Arabidopsis thaliana: one gene and its partners. The protein of the gene in region 3 interacts with the protein of the main gene of each other region in a pairwise test. Each region holds a gene or a part of one and is shown on either strand. Other genes may lie near its edges. The genes, in order: AS1, BRX, MPK20 and AT1G35560.

Region 1 (7,550 bases), 2.1 Mb from region 3:
GAATCTAGCTGAAAAATACTCCTACTCTAAGAATTTAAGTTAGAATAAAACATATTAATACAAATATAAAAATTTAGTTATTAAAAAAGCGCTACTACCAAGACGTCCTAAAGAAAAACTAGCTTTGTCTTCTAAAAGAAAACCTAGCTTAACTACCCAAAAAAATCTAGTTTTACAAACACTAAAGACAAATTTTATTTTTCAACAAATTTACCAATTAAAGAAAATTCCATGTAGGAATGTATCCAAATTGAAAATATCCCTACATATTTTGTAGGAAAAAAGGTTTTTATAAATATTAAAAAAACGAGAAAAAGAAAAGAGAAAAGAGAAAAAAAAAAGCCGGAGAGAATGGAGCACATGAGGTAAAAGGCAAGAGATGGCAGAGAGAAGATCAGAGAAGGGATCTGCCTCAATTTGACAACTCATATGTCATGTCATTTCCCTCACTACTATTATTTTCCTATTTCAAAAACACCTTTCTCTGATACCATCACCTTTTACCTTCTCTTTTTTTTTACTGTCTTTGCTCTGTTTCACATTCCCTTCTATATATACAGTATAGTATATTTTATCCTTCTTTTATTGTTTTGCTTACTAAAAGTTTTTTTCCTCCGGAATCAAAATTCTAAAATGTATATCATGTTAGGTCGCGAGGGCCATGCAATATTATGAACTATGCATGATGATTAATGTCTGTGGATCCATCACAAATATTATTGAAGGTTGATCAGAGACTATGGACCAAAATGGTCCGAATCGCCTGATAATAAAAAACTATTCATTTTTATTTTTTATTTTTTTTATTAAACATGTGATTAATGATAGATCTTACGATTCGCAACTGGGAAACATGCACTAACTCAAACTTAAAACACACAATACTAAAAGTTCTATTAAATTTTGAATGTAAAGAGAAATATATTAGGCAATCAAACGGTCAAGTAAATCATACACATCGATAATTTATTTTTTTATCCTTCAAAGCAGGCCCATCCAAGGCCCACCACTATTCTCATATCAACATACTTTTCTTGTTTTGGTTAAATCAACCTACCATGTTGGCTGTTCTCTCCGCTCCTCTGTGTAAGATCACACCAACACCACTGCATAATTTCTTGTATTATTTTGAGACTTGAGAGTAAACTGATTGACAAAAAAAAAAAAAAAAAAAAAAAATTGAGAGTAAACTAGTTTCTTGAATATTGATTTTTTCAGCTTAATTTGTTGGGGAAAGATATTACTACTATTGCTGTAAAAAAAAAAAAAAAAAAAAAAGATATTATTACTATATTTGTAGTGATTTTATTTTGAAAATTCTCTTCACTTTTTTGTAGTTAACATTCTAATTTTGTGAAAAGAACTTTTAATGTCAGGTCATGTCTCTTAAAAAGTTTGCATGATGAAATGATTTACAAATTACAATAGAAAATGGAAACCATTGCAAACTAAATTTTTATCAAAAAAAATCGAAAATAAAATGTATTGACTTAGTAATGCTGTGTCTGCTACGATTAACTATTACACATAATGCAACACTGAATTATCCAAATACATTATTAGAATAATAGTATTACAGTATCACTATTACAACAACAATGTCAACAATAATCTTATTATAATAATATATAAATAGACCTTAGTGACATCATATTATATAGAAAACATGTGGTTGCCTAATTTGTATAAGCTAGATACTTGGGGGTGATGAGTGACTAGTTGATGCAATGATAAAAGAGTGAAAGTTTTGTCTGCCTGATTATAGACGTCGGAGAAATACTAAAATACGCTATGAAGATTTTGGCGCATGGTAGCAGAAAAAAAAAACGGAGGGTGTGAGTGAGTAGTGGTAGTCGGATGTGATGGAACAAAGAAAAGTATTTTTGGTAGGGTTATGGGAGAGAGAAGGGGACCATTATTACACACTTACATGCTTTCCCCAAAAGATACCATTCCCATTTTCTGACACGTGTCCCCCTCATCCCCAATTACTCATACGTCAAATCCAATTTTTAGCCTAAAAGTTTTTTTTATTTGTTTAGCCAAATCTATTTTACTAATTAAAGTTTTCAAATGGCAAATAGAAAGATCTTCTAAGGTTTTATAAAATTACTTGATTATTTCTAGTTTTGCTCATTTTTTAAATAAAATTTCTCTTTTTTTTCTTGCAACATTATTGATTTTTTTTTTGATAGGGAGTAACATTAGTGATGTTCTATCTCTTCTCATTGCAAAAACTTTATTTTCTCATCTCTATTTGATCATCATTGCGAAATCTTCCATTTTCAACAAATACTTTTCCATGTTAATATGCTGTTTCAAAATATAAGTGTTTGGAAAATAAATCAACAAGTTTAAATGTTAACTATTTTTATGCTATTATAATTATTTTTCTTATGGGTAAGTGGAAATTAATGTTACTCAAATTGGACATAAAATTCTATTGTTTGAGTGAAGGAGTTTATAAATGGAGCATTATTTTCTTGAATGGTTAGTTTTTCTTCTATCATTTTGACAAGTAAATGACTTTTCAGCCACTAAAGTACAACACTTTTTCATTTAAATTTAAAGCATCCCCTACATTAGATTGTCATTTTATTTCTCATAATGTTATAGAAAAATGAATTTTGAGATCCCAATGTAGTAAATATATATAAAAAAAGGTTTAATATTGTCAATGACAAACAACGAACTTATGGAATTTCAACTTTTCACCTCCACGCGCCTCTGTCAGAGTTTTTTTTTTCCCCACTTGTGATGTAAAAAGGGGAAAACGTCTGTGTCTCAGTCGGTAAACTTTTTCTCTCTTTTTTTTTTTAAAGATTTTATTTTAATTATGCCGTCTCTGTGGTCTAATCGTGTACGTCGTCTGGTTTTAAAAGCCTCTCTCACTTTGGTCTTTTCGTTTTCTCTCTTCCATTTTCTCCAACTATATAAAAAAAAAAAAGTGAGAGAGAGAGCAAATCTGTGTGATGGAAGTTGCTCTTGAGTTTGGGATTATTTATCTTTTCAATATCATTTGGTAAGCATTTTTATTTTGTTTTATAGTAATAATTTTAACTCTCTTATCTTCTTAATAAGTCTTTGCTTAATAGTGTTTTGGGGTCAGCATTAATTTCCCCTGTTTGGTTTCCAGAATATAGGTTGTATAGTGTGATAATAACAAATTATTCCAAGTTTTGCTTCAAACATTGTCAAAGTTTTTGTCATTTTCATTTCTTGAAACGGAAATTTTTCAGACTTTGTAATTTCTAATTCGAAAATTCGACAGATCTTGTAGATTTGTTTCGATCTTTTAGAGTTTTGAATTGGAGAGATTTATGAAACGGGTTGATTTTGAATTTGGTACAGATGAAGAAGGATGGTGAGATGGGAAGAAGTGATGTCAGGAGGAGTAGGAGATGAAAGAGAGACAACGTTGGAGTGGTGAAGAAGATGCATTGTTACGTGCTTACGTTAGACAGTTCGGTCCGAGAGAATGGCATCTTGTGTCTGAGCGTATGAACAAACCTTTGAACCGTGACGCCAAGTCTTGTTTAGAGAGATGGAAGAATTATCTTAAGCCAGGGATCAAGAAAGGGTCTTTGACAGAGGAAGAGCAGAGGCTTGTGATCCGTCTTCAGGAGAAACACGGCAACAAGTGGAAGAAGATTGCTGCTGAGGTTCCCGGGAGGACGGCAAAGCGGTTAGGGAAGTGGTGGGAAGTGTTTAAGGAGAAGCAACAGAGAGAAGAGAAAGAGAGTAACAAGAGAGTTGAGCCTATTGACGAGAGTAAGTACGATCGGATTCTCGAGAGTTTCGCTGAGAAGCTTGTCAAAGAGCGGTCTAACGTTGTCCCTGCTGCTGCCGCTGCTGCAACGGTTGTGATGGCTAATTCGAATGGAGGGTTTTTACATTCTGAACAACAAGTTCAGCCTCCTAACCCAGTGATCCCGCCTTGGTTAGCTACTTCTAACAATGGGAACAATGTTGTTGCAAGGCCTCCCTCGGTAACTTTGACATTATCGCCTTCCACAGTGGCTGCAGCTGCGCCTCAACCGCCAATCCCGTGGCTGCAGCAGCAACAGCCTGAGAGAGCAGAGAACGGTCCAGGGGGACTTGTGTTAGGGAGTATGATGCCGTCTTGTAGTGGGAGTAGCGAGAGTGTGTTCTTGTCAGAGCTTGTGGAGTGTTGTAGAGAGTTGGAGGAAGGGCACCGAGCTTGGGCAGACCATAAGAAAGAGGCTGCATGGAGGCTAAGAAGGCTGGAGCTGCAGCTAGAGTCAGAGAAGACGTGTAGACAAAGGGAGAAGATGGAGGAGATTGAGGCAAAGATGAAAGCTCTTAGGGAAGAGCAGAAGAACGCAATGGAGAAGATCGAAGGAGAGTACAGAGAACAGCTCGTTGGTTTGAGGCGAGACGCAGAGGCCAAAGACCAGAAACTGGCTGATCAATGGACCTCTAGGCATATCAGACTCACCAAGTTTCTTGAACAACAAATGGGTTGCAGATTAGACCGCCCCTGAACCGTCTCCTAAACTCTTTGTTGTAACTTGTAATGTAATGTAAGGTTTTTTTTTTGTTTTTTTTTGTTTTTTTTTGTCTTTGATCATTTGGGTGTCTCCAATGTTTACTTAGACTTTTGGGTTCCTTACCTCAGCTTTGTATTTGTTTCTTTTACCTTTGTGTTCCATTTATCACTTCAGTTTATCCATGGCTTTGTTTTCTCAAGCTTGATGTTGATTTAGTCAGCTGCAACACTTTGGTTTATAAATAAAATCGATTTATATCTTTACATGTGTAAATTCAAGTAGAAGACAGAAAACAAATTGTTACATAATAATTGAAAAATTGAAGAGGAAGAGGTGTGTACTTATTCACTCAAAAACACAGTTGCATTAGATTTTAAACCATACTACAAACAGATTACCATAAATCCATGAAAATGTATTTGGCATGAATTTCAAAACATAAGAGAACAAAAACAAAGAGCAGAATAACGGAAGATTAAAAACCCGGCTTGAGAAATGGTCGGAAAAACCCTGGCGGTGCTTCTTCTCTGAAAAATGATCAACTTTGAACTCAGAAGCACTTCCTGTGAACAATCGATGGACCTGACTCGTCATACTCTGCCTTTGCGATCCACATCTGCACAAGGTAACACATAGTTTCAGAATTGAACCAGTTTAGTTAAGCTGAGAGTGATTAGGATTTAGTTTAGGTCTGTTTAGAGTAAACAAGTGATGGGACTGTGTGTACCTGCTGGAAGGTACTGAGGGAGGCCAAGATGGACCCTCCAATCCAGACAGAGTATTTCCTCTCTGGAGGGGCAACGACTTTGATCTTCATGCTGCTTGGAGCCAAAGCAGTGATCTCTTTGCTCATTCTGTCGGCGATTCCAGGGAACATTGTGGTTCCACCACTGAGCACAATGTTACCGTACAAGTCCTTCCTGATGTCGACATCACACTTCATTATGGAGTTATAGGTGGTTTCATGGATACCAGCATTCTCCATACCAATCATAGATGGCTGGTAAAGAACCTCAGGACAACGGAATCGCTCTGATCCAATGGTGATCACTTGCCCATCAGGTAGCTCGTAGTTCTTCTCAACAGATGAGCTGGTTTTGGCTGTCTCGAGTTCCTGCTCGTAGTCAAGAGCAATGTAGCAAAGCTTCTCCTTTATGTCTCTGACAATTTCACGCTCTGCTGTGGTGGTGAAAGAGTAACCACGCTCGGTTAGGATCTTCATCAGCGCATCCGTGAGGTCACGACCAGCAAGATCAAGACGTAGGATAGCATGTGGAAGTGCATACCCCTCATAGATAGGAACAGTGTGGCTCACACCATCTCCAGAGTCGAGCACAATACCTGCACATCCACAATTCAAGAAAGGCTTTACGTTTTGCTCTGCAAAAATGTACAAAGATCGAAGCTTTACACCATAAGGACACAAAAGCGCTACACTCACCGGTAGTACGACCACTGGCATAAAGAGAAAGAACAGCCTGAATAGCCACATACATAGCAGGGGCATTGAAAGTCTCAAACATGATTTGAGTCATCTTCTCACGATTAGCTTTCGGGTTAAGCGGTGCCTCGGTAAGTAGAATAGGATGTTCCTCAGGAGCAACACGGAGCTCATTGTAGAAAGTGTGATGCCAAATCTTCTCCATGTCATCCCAATTGTTGACAATTCCATGCTCAATAGGGTACTTGAGAGTTAAAATACCTCGTTTGGATTGAGCTTCATCGCCAACATAAGCATCCTTTTGCCCCATCCCAACCATCACACCGGTGTGACGAGGACGACCCACAATACTAGGAAACACAGCTCTAGGTGCATCATCCCCAGCAAAACCAGCCTATTCCAATACAAAAGAACATCATCATCTTAAACAAAAAAAAACAAATGCTACATTGTTCAGAGGATCATCAATCAAAAATTGAAAAAAAGATGAAAACTTTTGTCAAAAAAAACAGAGAGAAAGAATGACACACCTTAACCATTCCAGTTCCATTGTCGCAAACAAGAGGTTGAATGTCTTCACCATCAGCCATTTTCTTCTACCTTTATGCAAAACCAAACATTGTTTAAAGATCAAATTTTTATCAACAAATAACAATCCTTTTTCACCAATACAGATACAAAGAACAATCCTTTTTCAAAGACAAATCAATACAGGACAAAATGGAAGAAGAAGAAGGATATTCTGGATCCAGAATCATGTAAATATTATAAAATTCAATCAGAAAAATTATATTAAAGACATTTGAAAAACATGAGTCTTTTGGTTGATTAAACAAATAACAAATGGTGTAATGAACATACGCATGAGTAAAATCGATAAACAACAGATCGAAAAGATTAGCTCAAGACACCCAGATCCAAAAGAAACTCAGAAACGGATGAATTGAAATCGATGCGGGATCAAAAATCAAACGTAATTGGGGTGTGTGTTCGAAAATCACAACAAAGGGTCTCAAAAAGTACCTGAAATCGAGAGGAAAAAAAGTAGAGATAGAAAAGTTTGTAGTGGCTGGAAAATGAAAGAGGGGAAGAAGAAGAAGGGAGGAGGAGGAAGGAAGGATTGAAGGAGAAGGGAATGGGAGGAGTAAATATAAAAACGGGTCCAAAGGCTTCGACTTCGGCTCACCTTGTTTTCCGGTTCTATATTTCATTTCAAATCCAGTCCCCCAAAACAATAACAACTTGAAATGACGGTTTTACCCTTTTATTTTTGAAAAATATTTTTGTAACTATCAATTTTCTGTAAAGGCTATAAAACCTCATAAACCAGACTCCATCAAATCGGAGTAAATAAACAATTCATTTATTTTTTTTACATAGTAAACAAGAATAAGCAGACCAAAAGTTTTTGGTGGTAGTAGTGTCTACATAAAAAAAATATCAAGGAGTTGCAAACTTGCAACTATATAAGCAATGATAAAAAGCATGCAACTCATGTCGTTGAAAACAAAAAGCATGCATTTCTTATGTGAAAATTTCGCATGGGCTTTACTCACCCAAAATTGGCATTACTTCCGCATGGGCCGAGCATATTTGTT
Region 2 (8,473 bases), on a different chromosome or scaffold from region 3:
ATAAGTGCAGGCCCTAAGCTTCTTGCTGGATTCATAGATGCTCCCGAAATTGGCCTTGAAAATAAAACATTGTTAGCTTATGTTTTAACAAAATCACCATGGAAATTTTTCAAAAGAGACTTAGAATAGTTACCCGGAGAAAAGGATGTCGAGTACTATGGTTGCGCCAATAGCGATTCCAGCGAATGACCCGGTGGCCCGTTTATCGGTTGCGACAGCAGATATAACAAACATTAGATTGAAAGTAGCGATGAACTCCATTACGAACGAGGTCGTATTTGAGTTTGACGGATATGTTCCCACATAAACATCGCCTTTGAGGCTACAAACATCGTCGTCTAGATGGAACACAAGCCGTAGAACTGCAGCCGCTAAGGTCGATCCGAGAAGTTGAGCGGCAATGTACCCCGGAACCTGTAATACAACCACCACATTACATATACAATGTAAGACTAGTTGGTATAGATGATATCTATGGTAAAATGACCAAATATGCGAAATGGAATAAACGAGAAAAACTTGATTTAACAAATAACTAGTGGAAATACATATTTTGCTGCTTATAATTATGAATATGGTCGAAATCATGAAATAACATTATAAAGATAGTATGAGGTATTTTTTTACAATTGTAGATATCTTTGGATCACCTGATTAAAAGGGAACTTCTTAGAAGAGGCAAAGGCAATAGAAACAGCAGGGTTGAAATGTGCACCAGAGACATGACCAATTGAGTAGATCATAACCGTTACGACTAGTCCCCATACCAAAGCTATACCGGGAAGTGTCACCGGTTTGCCATACGTCTCATTTACCACGATGGCTGAGCAACCGGCAAATATCATAGTGAATGTCCCCACGAACTCTCCAATCAACTATAGAGTACTTTCAACAAAAAAAATCAACTAAAGAGAGAACAATAATGTTTGTTTTATTTGATTATCATACTTCATAGATTGGAAAATCAGTTACCAATAATTAGAACCAAAGTCAAGATTGAGCTTGCATATAGGCTATAGCAAACATCACACGAAATATAAAATCTTGATTTGGACTAACAAATATTTCACGACAAATTAAGAAACCATATCGCAACATAAAAGAGGCGGCTCACCTTTTGAACGAACGATACGGACACAAGAGGAGCGGATAAATCCGACGACCGGGAATCATCAATGGATTGATAGTTTTCGATGTCCAAGACAACGGTTTGTGTCTGAGTAGTAATATCAGAAATCTCAGCCATTGATGGAACTATGGTGACTTTCCTCCAAGTTTATGGTTTTCTCATCTAAAAACTCAAATGGTCAACTCTACTTTGTATTCGTTATAACTTATAAGCAAATAATAAAGTTGACTTTTTTATTCTATAGTCTATACCGCATGTTGATAAATTCTTTTAGGTTCATAGTTGACTTCTTTATCTTTGTCACAAAACACACGACATGGTTTACACGATAGTTATAGACTTATAATTATATGTAAATGTAATCAGCTTTGATTAGAAATGATATTTCAAAACACTTAATTTATGTATAGATGTTAAGCTAAGATGAACAAAAAGATAAGCAAAATGTGTGTAGTTTGTGTTGTTATGTGAAGGAGATTAATTAATTAATTAAAGATTTTGGTACTCATAATATTTCGTTTGCTTAGAGGTACTGTGTTTGTATTCTCTCTCTGTTCTGCTCCCACCATGTCTTTGCATGCACTTCCCCAAACCGTTCCCGGCTGTTGATTAAACCACAAAACCATAGATTCCGGTTAGTCACGGTATGATTACCAACTTTCAAAATGTATATGATTAGCAAATGCTTAGTTTTAGACGTTTTGTTATACCTGAATCTGACTCGACGTAGCTCTCTAGTCCCATCTGATAATTGTCTGATGGTAATGTAAACACCAGGCTCGTCCTCTTCAATCCACTCAGCTTGCATTTCACTAGCATTGCTCATGGAAGGTGGATCATCTCTGGAAGAAGTTGTGGTTCTTGCTGCATCCATCGGTGGTCCTCCATGATAACTTCCTGGTCCATAGTTGCTAGAGCCGCCATAAAAGTGATGCGGGACAGATCCTGGAGGTCTGAAATTGTGTCTTGGAGTCCAGTCTTTGCTTTCTCTTGCTGAATCCATCTTTGAGTACGTTGAATCTCTCTGTGACTGAAATATAAACTTGTGTTACCCTCTCTGGCTTAAAAGACAAGATTCATATAGATCCTGTTCTGAAGAAAGACTAAGGGATCTAAGGATATATGTGTTTACCTGATCGTCGGATCTTGCAGGCGTTTGGAGAGCTTGGCGGTTAAATCTCTGTACATTGTAAAGCTCAACGATCTTGTCATAGTTCTCACCCCACCACCGTTGAGCTTGCCACTTATCAAACATCTCTCGGCTTTCAAAACAAGACACAAGTAATTGTTAGTTTTTATCTCATGTTTCAGCGTTGAATGCCATGAAGATATAGAGATTGTTTTGAGTAGTTCAAATACCTGAAACGGATCCGTTTGAGATCATTTCCTCCAGTGGGAAGAGAAGCAAATGTGATATGAACACCAGGTTCTACTTGAGCCATCCACTCTTTTGGTCCATCATCATCCAGTACAACATCACAAGACTGTGCAGAGATAGATTCTCGATCATTTCCATATATTGAAGTGAACTTTGATTCTAACCGTCCAGCTGGATGATGAGAGGAGTTTGTGAAGTCCCAAGCAGGAGTTGAACCAGCACTTCCACCCATGAAAGGGTATGGAACACCTTCAGAGGCATTGTCATAATCCGGAAATGATCTATGTCCTTTCTTCAAGGGACTACTAGAGGAACCAGTGCATGGCTTGCATTGTTTATAAGCACCAGAGAATTTCAAAGCCATATCTTTAATCTGCGTAACATATGCACCCAAAAAGACCGATTACATTCAAAAACTTTATCTTGTTTATCAAAGTAATCCATTTAAACACACAAGAATGTTGAGTATAACGGTACACAAACATTATAGGTAGTTTCAAGCCTTTTTAAGTATGACTAAGTATACTTTTTAGCCCAATGAAGTAAAAAGAGGTCTACTATGATCATTATTAAAAGAACAACAATAAAGCTATGAGATCTAACATAATTAAACATATGTATTAAAAAAAGAAACTTCATATTGTCTTCTTAGCCTGCACCACAATCATAACGGCCCACTATTTCTTTTGTTTATGTTCTTTTGATTTACTAAAATAGTTACCCCCACCCCAAAAAACCCTTTCTTTATTTCCTTGTCTAGGTAAGAATCCACTAAAGCTTATTTGAGAGAAAGGTATTTAGATCAAGCTTCACTAGCAATATTCATCAAAGTATGACCCCAATATAAGCTTTAATGATAGTCCTGATAATTCAACTGGCTACATAATTCAAGGATATGTACAATGAGGGTTTAAATTGTTTCAGTAGTTGTTTTTGACTTTCATATGTCTAGTCACATAGAGAGGAAGCAAACACTGACATGAAAACTATTAAAGAGAGATTGGTGAAAGATTCCAAAAAATGAAGTGAAGTTACCTCATTGTAAGATCTCTGTCCTAAACAACAGTAACCTCTATATACTAATGACTTCAAACTCTATTCTTTGGTAAAGAAAACGAATAATAGTCAAATATATGGACCCTTTTTAAGTCCTCTAAGATACGTTAATTGGGGTTTGTGTCTTTGTTTGTTTCACGAGCAAGGCAATTAGAGAAAAGCAATAAAATAAAGTGAAAGAAAATAAAAGCAGAAGAAGGATCAACAAAGAAAGAAGAGAGAGACCTGAATGGTTAGGCTTTTGACGGCTTCTTTAGTATTGGGAGTGGTGCCTCCACGCGCTCCATGTTCGACTTCTTCACCTCCGTCTGCTTTGGTACAAGCTATGCAAGAAAACATTTTTGGTCTCTTTTTTGAGTTGTTCTCTGCCTTTTCAGACCTATAAAACCAGAGAGTACTCTATTAAACATCATCACAAACCAAACCTCACACTACTCTACTCAAATCAATAATAATACTCTACAAAACAAAACAAAAAGTAATTAAGAACGTTAAAGTAGAGCTCACTCTCACAATCCGACATAAAACACGGGTAAAGCTTATGTAATCGTAGTACACATGTAAACATTAGTTACAAGTTAGGAACATATAGCTAGAAAAGGGTATTTGGATTTCAATTGTCGTTTTCTTATAACGCAAAACACAAACACAAAAGGACAAAGTTGTTGACATATCTCTAGTCAGGAAACAACTACTCATGTTATAACAAAAAGAAAATGTAACTTGACTGGTTAGTAGTTTAACTCATAAAGAACCAATGCTAAATATTTCAAGTACTAAACCCATTTTTTAAAAATGGAAAGAAAGAAAAACAGTTTACATTACACCATGGTCGGATATTTGTGTTACCTATTTTAAGAGCGAATAAAAAAAGATGGGTATAAATTAGTGAAGAGATCTTGATAAAGACAAAAGTGTTGAAAGAGATATTAAAACTACATGTTACACTTTTCTTTATTAAAAAAAAAAAGATGTTATAACTAGAAAAGAAAGAGAGCTTGGGGATCAGAAAATAGGACCCAGTTAAGAAATACTAATATTTTAAAAATTAATTGTGCAAATCTAAACACCTGAAAATTGTATAAACACATTATTTACAAGTAATAATATATTCTAAAGACAATCATAATAGAGACAAATGCTTCTTTATTCTACTTTAAATAGTTTTTTTTTTTTGTTAAAGAATAACTTAATACTTTTGTGTGCAGCAAAAGATCCTAAACCCATCCCTCAACTAACAAAAGTTCGAAGAATAATTACATTTTTTTTGCAGTAGCCGAAATTTATGACATTTTAAAAAAAAATCAGATTATTGTGATGACTCAAGAGAATCAAATAATATGTTCTGATTCCGCGTGTTTAACATCGATCAAGACAAATACATAAGTAAAGAAGAAAACAATTGGAAACACTAGAAAAGCAAAACAAAATTGAAAAATATAACAAGAAAATGGAATCTTGACAGTCACGTGTTAAGAAAAAGAAAAAGAGATTGGTTTCTATTTTTAGGGTTTTGAGTGATGATGGACCAATCTAAAGCGTGTCGCGACATGAAAACTAAAACTATATCCAAAGTAAAAGATAAAATCGCAAAAACAATCACGAATCACGAAAAAAACTCTGTTTTGATATCAAAAGCAAAGGCAAAAACTGATACAAAAACCATTATTATTCTCACCTCAGAAAACGACTTCTTCTTTTTTTCTTAATCATTACAATCCAAAAAATAAAATTTTGATTAGTGGGTTTTGTTTATTACTCACTCACCTTTGTGTTTCGATATCTGAGAAATGAAGCGATATGATCTGAGATTATTGAGATACTAGATAGCTAGCTTCTGCTTTATTTTCCTCTTGAAGGCTTTGGTCTATTTAGGAAGCCGGCACGAGTGGGGTTAGTTCTGAGTCTACGTCTATAAATAGACCATCAATGGCTGCAGAGAAGATTAGTGTAGTAGTGTTACAGACAGTAATTGTAATAAATGTGTTACAAAAGGACGAAAACAATTTATGATACTACAATTTTGCTTTTAATGTTTTTGAGAAAAAATTCGGCGTTTTCTCAAAAAAGTAAAAGAACAATAAATACCGGGAAACTTTTGAATGAAAATGAAAATTTATATTAATATTGAAGAATGAATACACATTTTTCGGTGAAGTTTCTGATTTGGGTTTAGTGAGAAAATTTTGGTATTAATCAGAAAAAAATGACGAATCGAATCTGTCTAAATCAAATCAATCAAGTGACAAATGTTTGCAGAAAAAGGTAACGCAAAAAAAAAAAAAAAAATCTCTGAATCTTTTTTTTTCCGGGAAAAAATAGTATTGAAAAGATCGATCGGAAAAAAACCAGTGACTAATCGTTTCTACAGAAGAACAGAAACAGAGCAACGAATCTCTCTGTTTTCTTATTTTCCCGAGAAAAATCTTCAAAAAAGAGAATTTTTATAAACTCACCTGAAATGTCTTCTTCTTCGAATCTGATTATGTAATAAACTTCACTGAGAAAATCTCCAAACTCAAAAACCCATAGAAATCTTCATTTTCCGGAAGAGAAATTTGGAAAAAATGAGAACAGAGACGAAACCGGGTCGAGAAGTCGGGTTATTGGGTGACCCGAGAACTGAAAGGAGCTCCGAGAGTTTTAACTAGACGAAGAGAAGAGAGACAAGAGTTACGAAGAGTATATATATATACGTGGAGGAAAGAGAATGTTTAACGGCGTTTAATGTAATAAAAAAGAACCGTGAGTTTTGACGGAGGTTTATTATTTTGGTGTGCCGAGGAAAAATATTGGTCTCGAGAAGAGACGGCAAAGAGGGCCCATGTTGTCTACCGGTGACGGAGATGGCTTACGTGTGGTGGAAGTAGAATACGTGGCGGTTTCTGATTGGTTTGAGACAGCTGAAACCGGGTCGGGTTTTGGTCACGATACATTTGACAGGCCAAGGGAACCGTCGCATCACGATTCGCTTTGTGTGGGTTCATTTCATCATCTCTTTTTATTTTATTTTACTATACATAATATATGTGTGTTTCATCGTTTTGTCTTGTTTTGGTTATGATCATGTGTGCCAATTTTTTGTTGTTATGTTTCTACTAAATGAGTAAAGAAGCATCGATTGTGAATAGAATCAATAACTTGTTCATTGAATTTTTTTCATTTGGACATTTGGAGTTATATAATATAGTGTGAAAGTGTAAGTTGAAGTGTTTGCTTAAATAGTGTCCCAATCATGGATTAATGTTGGCATGGTGGATGGAGTATTGAAGTATGGGATGATACAACTATTTCTATTTATTTTACACATGTGATGTGTTTGTTTGTCATGTTCATTTCTTTAATATATAATATAGTGTAATGGTCCGACCATATTAAAAAATAAATAAAAAATTGTCTTTTCTTGACTCGTTAAACCAAATTATGCTAGGTTTAGAGATTGCTATAGAAGAAAAGCTTGCAGAATTGACGATGTGTTAATGTATTTTGGAATAAATATTTGTACTGTAATTTTGTTTTCTTCAATTGCATATGTAAGTATCTCATGCATGCAATGACTTTTTTAGAAAAGAAATGTTAAACGAAGATTTCTTATAAATTTTATTATTTTCATTCATATACGTGAAAAGTACGAAGGAAGTGAAATGTCAAAAGAGTTTTAAAGACAAGCATTCTTGATTTTGGGGTTAATGATGAAATATTTGGCCATGTTCGAATTTCACTGAAGGTTATAACATAGTGAATTACAAATTTTCTAAGGAAGTACAAACGAGCTGAATCTCTATGATATAAGAAAAAGCATACTAGTAACATAAAATGTTAACCTCAGACAAAAAGGTGTTGATATTAATCACAATGAAGTTTCTCAGTGTAGCTTGAAAGAATGTATCGAGTTCGAAGCATTTAAAATAATTATATGAAAGTGATATGAACGAGCTTGACTTTACTTAGTCGTGTTGGTCATCGATTTTTTCTACTTTTAATTTTAGATTAAAATATGTAGAAAAAACTCACTTGATTCCGATAAAGATGGTAAACTAAAACACAAACTTTTAATTATAAAATTACTAAATAATGATAGGCATAAGGAGTCATTCTCCAAAGTTGTATAGGCTGATAATATCGTGATGTTGATTCGCGGTTAAGTAATAGGCATTACACTTCTCTGTAAATTATGGCCACCAATTAAACTACATACATGGATTATTTAGGTTGATCTAGTTAATAACTAATAATTTTGGCTTGAATCAACTTTGATCATAACATTGTTAGTCAACCTTCTAAATTTGTTGTCATATGAAATGTTGTAAAAATCAAAACGGCATCGATTTAGATTTAATAGATTTATAGACAGTATATATTTATACATAAACTGAAAAAAACCTTGTCAAAAAAACTTAGTAAACTTATACAGAAGAAGCTTATAACATATAACACTAATATACAGTATATACGTTTATACATGTTTTGATGAATTTACATAGTCCATTAATAGTAAAATAAAACTAAGTTACTTTGTTTTCTTAAAAACGGATCATATGACTTACCAAATGTAGACGGTTGATTAAAGGCTTTTGGATCAATCATAATCAATATAAACCAACCTTTGATAGTTTGTATAAGGATTCACTAAATTTACATGGTTAATGTATGAATTTTCACATGTGATTTAATTCATGTACGAATTTAAAGAGTGATCATAGATTCATAGTTCATTTATGATGAATTGGTTTTCCCAGTGGTCGGGTATTTAAATTATTTTGTACTAAACAATTCATTTCTGTTTGTAAAACAAAACAAAACAAAATTAAACAACATTCATATACATTATAATGAATAATGTACTAAATGACAAAATGCAACAAACATTAGTTTTTTTTGCCTTTTTCTGTTTAAACATCCAGTAGTAG
Region 3 (9,430 bases):
CATGGGAACAAGGAAGAGAGAGGAGAGGACATGTGCGGGTCACATGAATATCTCCATCTTCAAAGCCCCATTCCCATGTGCTTCCTCCTCTCTATACATTATGTACAGACTGTAATATAGTATTATTATTAGATGGATGAGATCAAATAGATCCTCTAAGAGATAGTGAACTTGTTCGTACAATTGAGGACCTAATCCTACTAAGATCCACATGATATCTATCGGGCATGGTGGCCACGTGTCAACCCTTTTTTGGGTCCCCCCCACCTCAGTGACCTCCTAAATCTGTCCTTCATTTTTTTTTTGTCAACTCCTTTTTCTTATTAAAAGAAACTCCAATTAACATCCCATATTTCTTACCACGTAAAAACAACAATCTCAATATATCTATAATGTTAGAGAAATGGCCACTATATAACAAGAAGAAAGCCAAGGAAGTTTAGTGTTATTGGATTCGAATATAGTGTTACATGTTTCTAGCTAGAGATCTTTATAATATACATCTTTTATACATAAAACCGTTATAGTAAATCTTACTTAATGTTGGTTCCATAAATGAGCCCTCCGGTGCATTTCTTTTGTCAACTATATGATATAAAAACTAGATAAAGACTTAATAAAAAATAATTGCATTAAAAAAAAACAATTGCATTTTTGTAGGTCTTTAATCCAAGATTGCAAATTAACCTAAATCTACTCAAGAAAAAAAATTTAGTAAAGAATAATGATTGACATCTAATTAAAAGAAATAATGTATGGTCTTAATTAAGACAAAGATCAGGAACAGAATAACACATTTCTTTTACGTCTAGGGTTTTTAGTAATACTAAAAATTGTTAAGATGTTGTTTTAGAAGAAGAAGAAGATGGAAGAGAGAAATAAAGAAAGAGATGATGTTTCCAAAGAGGGGACGAAGGAGGGTTTGGTTTCTCGGGATTGAGATTTACAAAAATCGGGTGCCTTTCGCATTTCACCATCTACCAAACTGACACTCTCCCCAATTCTAGTATCTATTTATTTATGTATTTGCACTTACATTAAATATGTTACAAAAATAACACACTCGAAATTTAATTTTAGCTTTTAGCCAGCTTTCACATTCGTCGTCTTGGAATAATCAATTCTATGTCCTTTTGTATCTTGTTCGTTGTTTCTATTTTTTCCAAAATAACTTTTATTTAATGACGAAAACCTAAATATTTATATCTAGGAGGAGTTTGAGATGATTCCCTTTCACTATTTATTTTTGTTGCCACAAAAATAAAAGAGAAGAGTTTGGTTAAAGACAAGACAGTATATGTTTTTTTAAGAATTAAGAAAGGGGAAGATTAAGAAAGAAAATATGTAATGTTTAGCTAAAAAACTCCAAATCAAGGGAAGTTAATTAGTTATCTTCTCTTTTTTTCTATAAAGGCTGGAGATATGGGCCACACAGGTGGACCTACCATGATGGGTGATCTCTGGGACAATGCATACAGTGGTTTTTGGGTCCACCTCTAACCTTATTTGTCTCCTCTCTTGGCCTCATTTAGTTGCATTTTTTTCAATTGTACATGCATTTTCACTTGCTATATCTCTCTTTTGCTTTAAAACTTATTTTATTAAAAACTTTATAATCAGAAAGAAGAAGAAAGATCCCAAATTTTTTTATTTTTATTTTAATTAAAATAGAAGTGAATAAATAATCTTTAAATGATTTTTTCTAATTTTATTTTGATATTTCTATTTTGAGATACTATTTATTGAACAGCAATCTCTCATTGTGCTCATTTATTAATTTGTAGAAGAAATAACTTGTTTAGGAAGAAAGTAAGCGAACTCAACTGTTTACACAAAAATATATACACAAATTGGTTGGTTTAAAGATATGATCAAGTGACAATGCACCTTTCTGTTTCTACTGACATTTGGAAGAACAAAGTGGTGCCTGTGATATGGGTTCCCACCACCACATGCGTTTGGATGTGCCATGAAACCATCATCATCATCACCATGCGCATCCACACTGATCCATCTTCTGTAGCCAGCGGTTCTTTTAAACGTGAAAAACTCTCAACCTTTCTTGTTATATATACCAGAATCTAACATCCATTTATTTATTTGTCGGAATAGAAAAAACAAACAAATGATGGATCACAATTAATAAAAAAAATATTTTTTGCTCATATGGTTTTGTGTCATAGACAATTTTCTTTTATGACATGAAGATGGAAACATACAATGTTCTGTGTGATGAAAGCCCAGCTTAGGTGGAGAACTAGTACATCTTTGACATACCGTACCGAACAGCTCCAACTTTCCGGTGAGCAGAACCACCAGGAGCAGCTGCTGCAGCTGCCGCTGCGACTCCTATTCCGGCAGTTGCCTGTAACAGATTTGTGTCGATTATGATCCGGTCACTGATGTTTTCGGCTTTGTTCATTCCCGTTCTAGCCATGATAAACGGGTTGTTGTCTATGTTGATGGCTACATCTGGTGCATATCTATTATACTGAGATATTTGTCTTGCCTGCTTCTCAGGCTCCATAGTTGTTCTTCTCTCTTGCTGCTTTCCCATGGCGACTGTTGCAGCAGATTGTTGTGAAAAGGGGAGATTAGTGCTCCGGATGAATGATCTCGGGTCATATGCATCTCTGCTGATTCTGCCATTGTCGAAAGGTGCAACCGGGCCCATGAATGTGCTTGGTTTGGCTGCTGCGTGTAGATAGATGTTTTACAGTTTATAGAGGTCAGTTTGGACACATTGCTGTTGGATTCAGGATGAGTGATTAAAAGTACCTGAGAGGTTTCTTTGTTGTGCTTGTATTGTTGCATGATTAAAAGGAATGTTTTGAGTAGTTTCAGGGTTCAATGTGTTTGTGTTATTCATAAGTTTTGGTTGTCCTCCTCGTGCTACTGCGGTTGAGTGTATGACCGTTGATCTGAAAGCATGCAAACACAGAGTCAGAAGGACATATTTTTATAGAAATTAGTGTTCAACACAAGAAACAGATAGTCACGGTCTTATGATTCCATCTTTTTTATCCTTGCCATGTCAATGTATATTAATATACAACTAGTATAGCAGTTGCATAACGGGGGTCAAAAACAGAGGAGATCACCGAAACCAGATCAAGTGACAACAGACTTTACAGAAAAAATGAGGATATACCTGGGAAGAGAGGCATGTTTCCTTTCTAGAGGTGCCACAGGGCCGGTTTTACCACTGTTTTCTTCAAGATGCGCAAATTGTCTTCTAAATTGATCAACAGCACTGCACAGTATACATCAATGTCAGGGACTGGGTGTGATATGCAATGCTAGCTCAAGAATGTAATCAACAAAAATTACGACCTTGGGTAGAGAAAACTGGCTTTATCAGCCCCGTTCATATGATCTTTAAGCAGCTGAGGGTGGTACTCAAGTATCTCCCTAGAAATTAGCTCTCTTATATCCTCTTTAGTGACCTTTCTTCTCTCGAACTCAAATTCCATCTTCGTGATGGGTTGACATGAAGGCTCCCTTTCCACTTTTGCCAATCCCTTAAAATATGGATCAGCAAGTGCCTGATTCAAGTATACAAGAGTAGTTTAGTGATTCACTCCAATAGAAACCCCAAATGCATGATACTCTATTATTAGAGAGAGAAAACAATCAGGAAGCCGAGAATTCAAGATTTGAGATAGTTAGTCAATATGGAAGTTGAAAAGCACCTCTTCAGCAGTTGGCCGGTCTTTTGGATCAAAAGCAAGAAGCCTCTCCAACAACTTCAGAGACAAAGGATCTGCATTTGGGAATTTCTGTGCAAACGGAATGGGTGGCTTTTTCCTCATGCTTGTTAAGTACCTCCTTGCCTTCTCATTCCTCACCTGTATAACATCATAAAAGCAGGGTACTCATCACTACTGGTCCTTGCTTAAGATGTGTAGAAACTCAATGGACTTCGTTTAGCAAGAAGATCAATACCCGTGAGATGGTGTCCAGGGAAGGTGTCCCTAGCAGATCAGTCATAAGATCCAGCTGGTGAACCACATTCTTTCCAGGGAAAAGTGGTTTACCCATCAACACCTCCGCAAAAATGCAGCCTATACTCCAGATGTCAATTGCGGGTGTATACTACAAAGCCAAATCCATCAAAAGTTATATCGCGGCAACACACCAATTAAAAGATGTTATATAGAGAACAAATGAACACCTTAGAGTAAAAAGATCCACAAAGCTCTGGAGCTCTATACCATCTGGTAGCAACATAGTCCTGTAAATTCAGTAGAAAATAATGTAGAAGAGTATCAGGTCCTGCAACGTAGTGAATAATATTTAGACCAACTTCAGTTTAAGAGAAGGAAAAGACTCTTAGAGAGCCATCTTGTCAAACGTACAGTCCAGAAGATTGTTGTGGGGGTATCATTGAATGCAACCCTTGCCAATCCAAAATCACAAATCTTAAGTTTACAGTTTGCATTTGCCAATATGTTCTTTGGTTTCAGGTCTCGGTGGTAGACATTAGCTGCAACAACCAAGATTCATAAGATAATATAATACAACAAACCAAACTCGACAGCTGAGTTAAAGTTCAGATATATTGGGGCAAACTTCAAAAGGCAAACATTTAGCCAGACAATGGAAACCGCAAGAATCCAATTCAGTGCATCAATGTATGAGATAGTACTGTAGAATGTAAAGTCCTAAAAGACAAATCTGACATACACTACATTTTGCAAGTGTCCAAGATTTTCATCTACAGAGAGAGCGATATATACACACAGAGAGATTTGAAGATGAAAAGACTATTGCTAGATGCCGGATAAAGAGAGACCAAAAGAAAAAGACTACCTGTGTGAATGTACTTCAGTGCACGCAATAACTGATACAGGAAAAACTGGTAATGCTCTCTAGTCAAATCATCATTGGCTTTAATAACTTGATGAAGATCCGATTCCATGAGCTCAAAGACAACATAAATATCTTTGAATTCTCTTCGTGAAGGAGGAAGCATAATGTGCTTAATTTCAACTATATCTGGATGCCTTAGGAGTCTAAGAAGTTTAATCTCACGTAGAATCCTCGCAGCATCAGAAATATGCTCAAAAATATCATGAATTTTCTTTATCGCGACTTTCTCACCCGTAAGAGTGTCTATAGCTGAGCAAACAACTCCATAACTGCCTTTTCCAATAACTTCTTGAACTTTAAATCTATTGGCATCGCCATAGTCAGAAAAGAACTCCATCTCCAGATTATTCTGTTACAAATACCATTACTTCCAAGTCAGAAACATTACAATAGAGATAACACTATACAAGAATCAGATGCAGAAGGTTCTCTACTGATGCTACAAAGGACGCCTAATGAAGGATCAATGCAATTGAATGTCAATTTGCTGATGAAGAAATAAAAAAAATGTCTCAACAACACATCATCTTGTCTTGAATGATGACAATTATGCGTTGTTTGTTTGATGACACTTGTAACGTTCATTGATCATAAACAGAGTTGTCCAAAACGGCAAAAAGATTAAAGACAGTAACAGGAAACAAACAAGATTAACCGAAACACACACATAAATATCTCAGACAGAACAGATAGTATCGGATGGAATAATTGGAAAAAAGGAAGAGTTTTTGTTTCACCTTTTTGCGATTATCTTGCTGCATCGTGACTCAATTGAAACACAGACTAAAAACCCAGGAATTAGAAGAACCCTAGAATTCGATCTGAATTGGGGGGAGGGAAATAGAAATTCAGATCAGCCGCATTGGCCCCATCGACCACTACTCCAAATGGCGAAGCTAGAATCCGACCTGGTTCTGCTCCGGCAATCGATCACCGACAGAGACAGAATCGCAGGCGAATTTCTCATTCACCTCTCTAATTCACCCAATTACCCCCAACGAAATCGAAACAACAACAAACAATCGCAGTTCAAGATAAATCGAGGAATTGAAGATAGCAGAGTGCGAACAGCATTGCTTTAGACGCACGTTTTCGTCGGCACGAGATCTGATCACCGACACACAAGGGATACAGAGAGAGAGAGAGAGAGAGAGAGAGAGAGACGAAGAAGTAGTGAAAATGAAAGGAGAGAGAGAGATAAGGAAGGAATCTAGACGGAGATTTATATATAGAGGTTAAAGTGTCGCGTTTGGTAAGCTGCTTTGGTCACTGTGATCCAAAAAAACAACCCATTAGTAAAACGAAAAAATAAATTATTTGATCAAGTGTTAATAAATTAATTAGGACATTATTGATCTGGTCATTATTAGTGTATGATCTATTTTTGATCTTTATTGCCATTCATTCATGTCTTCTTTATCCAATTCTTTCGTTTTGTCACGTACTTATCTCATAGATATAATGTTAATAGAATGTTATCATCTTTATCCTTAAAAGCTTTTTTGCTAATTTTAGTTGCTAAAACTTTGTTTTATTCACTTTATCATTTGCTATATTGTATATACTGCTAAATTATATTTTCAATCTATATTTCATCATCTTCATTTTTGTAAGGAATTTTTAGCTTATTTTTTGTATTAAGTTTCTGGTAATATGATTCTCAATTATTTTGCTGTAAAAAAAAATATATATTATTTTGTTTTTTTCCATTAATATTGTATATCAAATAACCTTCAATTAAAAACAACAATATTAATTTAGCTTTTGGTTGTGGCATGAGTGTAATATAGTAATATTAGGGGTAGAAAAAAAAACAAACTCTCACTTAACTAGCCCAATGGGCCATGCCATTTTTTTAAAACACGCAGGGCTTTTCATATCCGAATAGTTAACGCCACGTCATCTCTGACGCGTGAGAGATTTGTTGTCAAATGTAATAAACCAGCTAATCATTAGTCTGTCTTACTGTCTCCTTCTTGTGGTTAAAATCAAAAGTCAAACCAGCTCACATTAGTGTAATTATTTAACTAAATTATAAAAAAGATAATCATATTTTGATTAGCTAATAACTAAACTACTTGACGATTGAGCGAATCTTATATTTAGTCTTACGGGATTAAACAAAAAATATCAATCAGACCTTGTTACGTAAGCACAAATCATAGTGTTTGGTTGAAAAACGAAGAATAATACATTTTTTTTTATAGTGTGTTAGTACTGTTTTACTTTATACTTCCATATTCTTTTTTCAATAGACATGTTTTTTCTAATCTTCTTTTTGGTGTTAATTTGATTTAAATTAAGTTAAATTTTTGTTGTTTTATGTATTTGGCCAAAATGATATTTGCATCATAAGGTTCATGTAGAAGAAAACATATCTTCATTTTTTTTTACTTTCTAGTCTTTTTCAATCTAGTGGACCTAATCCTTTTTCAAAATGATCTTCAAAGAATTTTTGTACCTAGTCTTGAATAAATGTGAGGAAATCTTTCTTTCTTTTTATGTGAAAAAATGTGAGGAAATCTAATTTACGTCTTTCATTTTTCTGCGAACATAAAATGGGTAAGGAGATATGGAAAATGTAAGATTCGGTTTGCAATTTTTCTGCAAACACAAGATCTCTGTTTTCTGCAAGAACAGAACCAATTTCCCACCAGGGTAACTCATTTTGACCACTTACAAGCGCCAGGCAATAATCCTTCTTCAAGGCCTTTCACCACTCCCCAAGTTCTCTGCTTTGGATCATATAAGCTCTCAAAAATCATAATCCAATACCAAAATTCATGATAAGTTATATGTTTTATTCATTATCAAGAAATTGAAAAACAACAATTCAAAAAGTTCATCTTTTAGAATCATATACTAGAAAACACATAAATCAAGCTCCATTCACCAATTATTGATGAAGTCATGAAGATAAATCGATTATTATCCTCTGATGCAACAACAGCGTGGAGGATTTCCAACACAATGTCCAGTCCGGTAAATAGCTACATTAGTACAGTCATAGAAGCATGCATGATCATCCCGTCTAGCATCACATAGAAAAAGGCAAGCACCATATTTTGCTGGCTCGATCACTGCACATATATACAACTCCACATTAAAACTATAAATCTGTAGATACATGTCCAAATAACAGTTTTAGTTTCTTCAAGGTTCTTAACAACATATACATATACACAGATACATGTAATATTGTATTACTAATTCTATATTTTTAAGAATTTTTTGTTTCCTGAATTATTGTTTTGGTAGTGATCAAAGATAGTTGAAAATAACAAAAAAAAATAAACATCTTCGCAAAGAAACAACATACCTGACTCGGCCTCAACATCGTAATAAGAAAACGAAATTGTCAATATAATTACAAGAAAAACAGTTGCAGAGGTTTTTTTGATACCCATAGGTTCTATTATCTTTTAGGTTTTCGTGAAAGTCTTATTTATAGGACTATTTTTCTTGGAAAGTTTCAAGTTTTTATCCTCTGTTTTTATTTTACAGTAAGTAGATCTTCCATAAATAAATTTGTTATTTTGGTAAAGAGAGATTTTCATTTCTTTTTATTATCTTCTTTAAGTAGAAAGAATCTTAAAACTACTATACTTGAATACTTATAAAAAAAATTACTATACTTGAATATATCAAATTTAATGCAAAGTTCATGTTGGAGAAATTAAATACTAATATCAAAATGTATTTGTATAAATCACATTACAATCACTTTGACTGGAAGACCATTATTCTGTGTGGTAAACTGGTAATTAATTACTAAATTACCACCTACATAAACCGAATATAATTGGACACACATAGAGAGAATTTTCTGTTGTCGAATATTCCAAAACTTATCAAAATAATGTATGTTTCTATTTATAGTCTGTTTCTCTTTATAGTCTGTGTGTATAAATATGATGAGTTTGAATATCACGGGTGATGAAAAAAAAAAAAAATGAATATCACGGGTCCTCGAAAACCACTCCTTCTTTATCCCCACTGTTTCATGTTTTCTTCGCATAGGTAATGGGTTCAATTGTGAAAAAAAAAAAAAAAGGTAATGGGTTCAATATTTCGTCTATATTAAAACTTATACACACAACTATTTTGCCCTAAATGAATTGTGACGGAGAGAATTTTACGCTCTAAACTGGAAAAGATAGAGTGATCCTGAAACGAATAAACGGAGGAGAAGGGGAGAGAAGGAGTATCATAGTTTAGTTTCTCTCACACTGTATCCGATTATTTAACTCCACGTTGACACGTTGTCTCTGACGCGTGAGAGACTTGTTGTCAAATGTAATAAACCAGCTAATAATTAGTCTGTCTCCTGGTACAGTCATGGTTGCATGCATGATCATAGTTTGGTTTCTCCCACACTATGGATCAATTTAGTTTACATAGTGAAGCAAGTTTATGTTTTCAATTTCATGTTGTTACTCACCTTTTCTATTTAGTTCAAGTGAACATATAACTCATATCGTGGACCAAATTAGATTTCATAGTTAGTTCACATGATGGACCAAACTTAGATGTTAAAATTTTGTACATATCTTAAAAA
Region 4 (6,596 bases), on a different chromosome or scaffold from region 3:
ATGGTGTTACTATATATAACTTTTAATCATTTTTTGTGGTGATAAAAAACTTGTTATATATAGAGACATGAATTTTTAGTCTGACCATAGAGAAAGCCAAAAGTTTTAAATAAATTTCAGTTAGAAAAAGGTGCAAGAAACCTAAACGTTGTTCCCGATCTCGAAAGTGTAAAAAATGTTAAAAAAAACCATGGTTGCGGCCGGAGAAGAAAGAAGTGTTGGAGAAGAAATTATGGAAGCAAATAGGTCAAGAAACCGTGGTTTATTCAACTCAGGTCATGAAGGTTAAAACCTATAAACTCAAGCTAAAGTAATTAAATTTGCTTTCTCTTATTCATTTTGTGTTTCCCTTTCCTGAGTGTTAAGAGGGAGGAACCATTATCAGAGCTAGGTTTCATGTTGAAAACTGATGTGTAAAGATGGATTATGTTGATGAAGAACTGGACAATCTTTAAGCAAGATGCCTATACTAACTGGTCGTTTGTTGTTTTAAATCCGGCTATGAACTTGAAGAGCAGTAAAAAGGTAGTGTCAAAGAACATTGGTGATGCATTTTTGTCACCAGATGTCCAGATCAATGCAAAGAGATCTCTTCGTGAGGTCAACTTTCTTTGCCACTTGCATCATGATAAAATATGTTTGAGTTTCATCACTACTCTCTCATCGAGTTTATAAAAGCTTTGAGTTTAATCACAGCCAATAATTAATATCAGCTGCATGTTCCATAGATACCACGTAGAGAAAATGTTTTCTTGAGATCGATGTTTACAATGCATAAGAAATTATTAATAGATGGGTCTTCTCCCTCATCAAAATGTGCATGGAAGCAGAGCATATCTACGAAGGAGGAGGGTCGGAGATGGTGTATAAGGTCAACGGAAGGATGATTAAAAAAATCACCTTTGAGAACTGCGCTGTGAGAATAGAGGAGAAGAGAAATGGAAAAAATATCATTTAATCGTCCAACTTTAAAAAATGGTCATTTTATATTGAATTTTTATAGTATATTATTTTAAACATCAACTAAACATTGACTGCTGTATTAAACATGAGATTGTATTGACCTAACCAATATATATAGACATGACATTAAAATCCGATAACGGAACCACTAACAGTCGTTAACAATTCTGTTAGTCAAATTACCAACTTTCAAATTTAGGCTATTTTGAACATGAATTTCGTATAAGGCTATTTTAATCATCAACTAAATGTTGACCCGGCCAAAAAAAACATGATTTTAAAATCTACTAACATAACCACTAACAACTGTTATCAATCGTTAACGCACAACAAAACTAAGACAAAAAAAAATAAAAAGAATACAAATAACCAAAACACATGACTACAGAATAGTTAACGACTGATATCGGCTTTTAGTGGTTCCGTAATCACATTTTAACGTCATGTCAAAATTGGTCTGATCAACGCAATTTCATGTTTAATATGGCAGTCAACATTTAGTTGATATTTAAAATAGCTTACTATGAAATTCCTATATAAAATGGCCATTTTTTTAAAGTTGAATGATTACATGACATTTTTCCCGAAGAGAATGTTGAGAGTGATTTTATTTTTTGTCATCAGATATTATTTAGAGTTCAGATGAACCAAGATTGCGGAAAATTGTTTATATAGGTAATATGTAGCGGTTTGACACGAATTTTTCTTGCCAAATACTCCGCTTTGACATTGGTAATACGAGAGAAAGATAAATAAAAAATATGAAATAGTCAATACACGAATTAATAAAAGACAGAAGTTAGGATAAGTAATATTTTTATATTTGCATGTTAACGTTTTCTAAAATATTACTGATACACGTATTCTAGCAATTGTAATTGGTCAGAATTATGTAACAAGTCTTATGTTAATATGTAACTTGCTAAAGCTTAAGTTAGGAGCATGCTTCTACATCCCATATATGATAGATATATAAATCACAAGTAAAATAAATCATATTCTTTCTTCTTGACATGATAACATATTATTTCTAATATATTTTAAATATATTAAAAATAGTAAATATATAAAAATCCCAATAAACCATCTATTATATACACTTCCGAAATCAAATCCAATATTTTTTTTAAACTATATCAACTAACTTGAAAATATCAATTATCAAAATATATATCCGGGCTAACCCCTAGTCACATTAAAAACGGCATTTCGCCTGATTACCCGTCCAGCCTATTTTTCAAACACATTGGAATTTACTGTGGCATAGGAGTTCTCTCTGACGTGTCCATGTTGCTCCACAAGTGGACAATTTTTTGGTAGATACTACAAAAGTATGATAGACAAAATACGAATTTTAAAAGAGAATTAATATATAAATCTAAAAACCCATTTGTATCCAAACATGTGGTGCTCATGCACCCAATAAAGTTTATCACTACAGTCTACACCATATAATTTTTTATTTATATTCGTTAGCTTTTTACGAACTGCAATCAATTCGAAATATTTGAAATATATGAGCGGTCAAAGAAGGTGTATTCAATTATACCCTTCAACAAAAGAGAAAAGGCATTCTGATAAATATTTAATTTATTCTTTTGTCCATTATGTTACACATAGAGATTCAACTATATTTCCTTTAAGTGACATGCTTTTGCATCGAATAAAAAGAGTTGCAAAACTCGTTAATTATTATGCAACCAAAACAATAAATCCATTTTCTTAAATAACAATTTGGCAATCCCGAAAAGCCAACCCTAAAACCCATATTAACATTGGAGTCCTCAACAAAAGTTGCAATAAATCACACATTCACACTTTTTAAAAACCAAAGAAATCATGAAGTCTTTCAAGGAGAACCATCTATAGTAGGATTTTGGTCTCTAGTAGCATGATCACTCACTTGATGTTGAGGCTTTTGCTCAAGACTCATTCCGAGACCAACCCGACCACCGTCTCCTCCTCCGCCGGAAAATAGCCCCAAATTGTTATTTTCTGCAACACCTAACCCTAACTGTTGACCTCCCACTAACATAGACCCTAGCTGAACCGACCCGATTCGACCCGGGTAATGACCCGGATTAAACGCCCACATGTGCTGTGATGGATCCTGAACGTTAGCCGGACCTCCTCCTCCTCCGACTGGTAACATCCAAAAAGCACTACCTCCGTTTGTGGAGGCTGGCGTTGGCGCTAGTGCCCACATCGGCGGTATCATATTTTGTGTTCTTGACCGGGTCGAACCCGGATCTTGATCAGGAGCTTCGGATCCCGGTTTAGGTGATCTTGAACCGGGTTCTTGATCTAGAAAATTAGGATCTTTAAAAAGATCTTCTTCACGGAATGTTTTGGGAAGAGAAGAAGAAGAAGAATCTGTCGTGATATGATGAGGATGATAAAGCTGTTGCTGGAACCCAAAAACGGCAGCGTTTTGAGCCGCTCTTCCCATGTGGAAAGATTTAGACAGTGGAGCTGAAAGAGTAGAGCCACTGCTTCGAAGAGAGATGTTCAAAGTAGAGATATTCGCCGGTATGGTTCCAGTTCCGGTGGCTGCGATGATAGCTGGCTCCGCTTGTTGGAGCAGCCACTCTATAGTCTCGCCGTCCGATTTGTGTTGTAACTCACGTGTTAGTTGGAAGACACGTGCTGCGCAGATAGCCGGCATACGTATCCTCCGGCCACGTCCGTCTACTTTGATGTGACGGTCCTTGGACGGTCGTTTTGCGGGTGTTTTAGCGGCGGTGACGGTGGTGGTAGTGGAGTTTGGAGCAGTGGTGGTTAATGAGACTGAACCGGAGATTGGTCCCATGGATGGGACCAGATGGGCCGAACCAGTGGTGTTGTTGTTGCTCTGGTTGTTGTTGTGGGACTCCATATTGCTTATAAAATTTATAAATTATGGGGAAAAAAACACACAAGAAAATGGAATAAACAAACAAACAAACTTGTACTGAATTTTTACTTATAACCTATAAATTCTTGGAGTATTTTTTTTTTCTGGTGGGGCTATGAGTTTGTGTTGACTGTTGTTTACTTGTTTGGAGAAAGAGAGAGTGAGAGGAAGAAGATGAAGCAGCTTGTAGAAAAGAGAGAGAGACTTTCACTTTCTTTTTCTTTTGTGTTTTATTTTCATTTGTAGTCCCACTAGGTTTTTGTAGTAGAGAGTAGAGACCAATATTTGCTGTTTCCACACCAAATGATCACTTAACCTTTTTTTGTTTGGTTATTATCACACTTACTATATTGTAGTATAAAAATAATTATGCGCCGAATGTATTGAATTTTGGTCTAACTTTGTGAGACTAAAACTATTTTTAGCAATGGACTATGAAAAGTTTGGAAGTGTTTTACATGATTGAAAAAGGTGTGGATTGTCTAAGATTATAATTTTGGGGCATTTTTGTTGCAATCTTTAGATTGTAGGGATCTATTTGTTGGTTTCCTTATAAAGTTTGGCTTTTAGGTTGGATTTTGCATGGGTGGGAAACGTTGAATGTTCTATGGGGGAAAAGAAAAAAACTAATCACTAATCATAGAGCCAATTTACACCCAATATAATAGTGTTTTAATATTATTTATTTTTTTAATAATTTACTGATAATAACACAAATGTCTCTTTCTTTGATTCTCTATTTTGTCTTTGTTATCCGAATTTGATGAAAGACTTGTTGAGAGATAAGGACCACTGTTTTTATTAACGATGATACTAATAATTGAAGACTATATATAAAGGCTTCAATTCTTTTCCCATCTGCCAAATTAGCACCCACAGACATAGGTTATATATAACTAATCATCTCAACTACAATTTTTCTCAACGAAACCTATACATCTCATTCTAGATGTGAAAACTGTCTAAGAATAGTCCAATTTCAGCCTACTATGTTATATGCACATGTATCAGGGTGTTAACAAAGTATTCGAAATCAAAAAGTTTTAAGGAAAATAATTATGCAAGCGTAGTAAATCAATTAGTTTATTGATATTCACGTTGCTCTTAGTGATTAACCATGTATGTATAATCATATTAGTATTAATGCCTATTAACTGATTTATTGCAATATTTTAATTCATAATTGAATATTTAGACTGTATTATTGTTTCATTTTTTATATCAATTAAATTCCTTTATTAGGTTTTATGTTTTTATCAATCCAAAACCATATAATATATTATATTGCTAGCTATACCATTCGGAATCTTAATTTGGACACGAGCTTGAGCTTTTTGGCTGTTCTTAATGTAAGTTACATGTACGCACCGTGAGCTAAATTATAGATAACAATGAAAGTGAAACCAAACCACTATAAAAAAAACTTTATATTTGAACAGTATATTTTATATAATTTATATATATATATATATATATATATGCAATTATATTTTGAACTGTATATATAATCTCTCTTATTTTTTATTTTCCTGAAAAATAATTGTTGAGACAGATGCACGTGTAAGCATTAGCAGTGAAAGAAAACAGTAAAACAGTCAGAGATAGTTGAAGAAGTACAAGAAGCGAGTGATAAAAAAACGTGATGTTTGGTCTGAAACTCTGGATCCTCCCACGGTCCATTGTCTTGTCTCTGTTCTCTCCAAAAAGTGAAAATGTTCATTTACAAGACCATATAGTATGTAGCCTTGTTCAAGATTCTGTTAGAGCACCTTCATTGGATGGAGACTCATTGAGTATCTAAGAAATAAACTATTAATATTTTTTTATATACATTTATTTTTAAATAAATTATTTTAATTGCTTAAAAAAGTATAAAAGTATCAACCAATTAATGTTTTAAATGTGTAGGCAAGACGTTAAAAATAAAATAAAATGGTGAGAGAGTGAAAGTGTTAATCACTCTTCGACCATATATATCTCTAAAATGGTGCTTTTAAATTGTTTTAGAATCATCTACTGCCTAAAAAGCCCATGCTTTACAGGTTTTAGCTTTGGGTTGGTCTTGTGTGTAGGTATGATCTCATGAGTTCTCATCCAAAAAACAATTCTACTCTCTTTCATTCCCTTTAATTTCACTCATCCCATTTTACATTTCTTGTAAAAAGTTTCCTCAACCTTTCACTTCTCTTTGATACCACCTAGATACATAGAATCTCGTATTTCTATAATCTTGTGATATACATCGTACTTTTTTTTTTTTTTTTTTTAATGTAATGTTAAATTAAATCCAAAAAAAAAATAGCGTTTTTACATCTATGTGCAACATTTTGTTGAAAAAACTGGAGCAAAAACTAGAATACAATCTAAAAATTGTTTCTCATTCTCTCATCGCAAACCAAGCTTGTAAGCCCTTGTCATATCTCTTATCTCCACTTGCTTTGATCGAACAAAGCTGGTTCCGAGTTTGTTTGTCTATTCATTTGATTAAAAGAGCTGCTGAGTTTGGTTTCTCTCCATGATTCCTTCCGTTCCTTTCGCGCCAAATGGTGTGTACCGTGGCTTGAAAGAGATATCGCGCAAAGAAACTGTCAAGCGGTGTCATCCAAGAGCCGGAGATGGCTTGTATCAGGTCTTGCCAATGTGTAGAAAATCTGTCTCCATAGATTCCTCTTGCTAAGTTACTCCAAACTATCGAAGCAAAGTCACAGGAGAAGAAGAGATGATCCCGGGTTTCGGGAGC

Evidence for each region.
Region 1: the proteins of MPK20 (region 3) and AS1 interact in binary tests that used the Arabidopsis thaliana proteins (3 or more experiments, as listed by UniProt).
Region 2: the proteins of MPK20 (region 3) and BRX interact in binary tests that used the Arabidopsis thaliana proteins (3 or more experiments, as listed by UniProt).
Region 4: the proteins of MPK20 (region 3) and AT1G35560 interact in binary tests that used the Arabidopsis thaliana proteins (3 or more experiments, as listed by UniProt).

Annotation. Positions count from the first base shown.
Region 1 is NC_003071.7:15,778,753-15,786,302, reverse strand, and holds AS1 (myb-like HTH transcriptional regulator family protein), read left to right. Parts: upstream 1-2,822; 5' UTR 2,823-3,022; intron 3,023-3,351; 5' UTR 3,352-3,401; coding exon 3,402-4,505; 3' UTR 4,506-5,061; downstream 5,062-7,550. Other genes in the region: ACT1 (actin 1), read right to left, coding at 5,062-5,127, 5,239-5,852, 5,953-6,346, 6,483-6,542.
Region 2 is NC_003070.9:11,443,233-11,451,705, reverse strand, and holds BRX (DZC (Disease resistance/zinc finger/chromosome condensation-like region) domain containing protein), read right to left. Parts: upstream 4,420-8,473; 5' UTR 4,386-4,419; coding exon 4,384-4,385; intron 3,943-4,383; coding exon 3,789-3,942; intron 2,881-3,788; coding exon 2,489-2,880; intron 2,392-2,488; coding exon 2,262-2,391; intron 2,160-2,261; coding exon 1,840-2,159; intron 1,732-1,839; coding exon 1,653-1,731; 3' UTR 1,514-1,652; downstream 1-1,513. Other genes in the region: NIP3;1 (NOD26-like intrinsic protein 3;1), read right to left, coding at 1-54, 134-414, 651-875, 1,115-1,246. UniProt on the Arabidopsis thaliana protein: Acts as a regulator of cell proliferation and elongation in the root and shoot. Regulates roots architecture and primary root protophloem differentiation.
Region 3 is NC_003071.7:17,838,315-17,847,744, forward strand, and holds MPK20 (MAP kinase 20), read right to left. Parts: upstream 6,067-9,430; 5' UTR 5,634-6,066; coding exon 5,610-5,633; intron 5,222-5,609; coding exon 4,813-5,221; intron 4,487-4,812; coding exon 4,359-4,486; intron 4,235-4,358; coding exon 4,175-4,234; intron 4,096-4,174; coding exon 3,946-4,095; intron 3,849-3,945; coding exon 3,693-3,848; intron 3,546-3,692; coding exon 3,334-3,545; intron 3,254-3,333; coding exon 3,152-3,253; intron 2,922-3,151; coding exon 2,779-2,921; coding exon of another isoform or gene 2,756-2,778; exon of another isoform or gene 2,695-2,755; coding exon 2,258-2,694; 3' UTR 1,854-2,257; downstream 1-1,853. Other genes in the region: AT2G42885 (Defensin-like (DEFL) family protein), read right to left, coding at 7,801-7,952, 8,192-8,279.
Region 4 is NC_003070.9:13,113,287-13,119,882, forward strand, and holds AT1G35560 (TCP family transcription factor), read right to left. Parts: upstream 3,950-6,596; 5' UTR 3,839-3,949; coding exon 2,813-3,838; 3' UTR 2,540-2,812; downstream 1-2,539.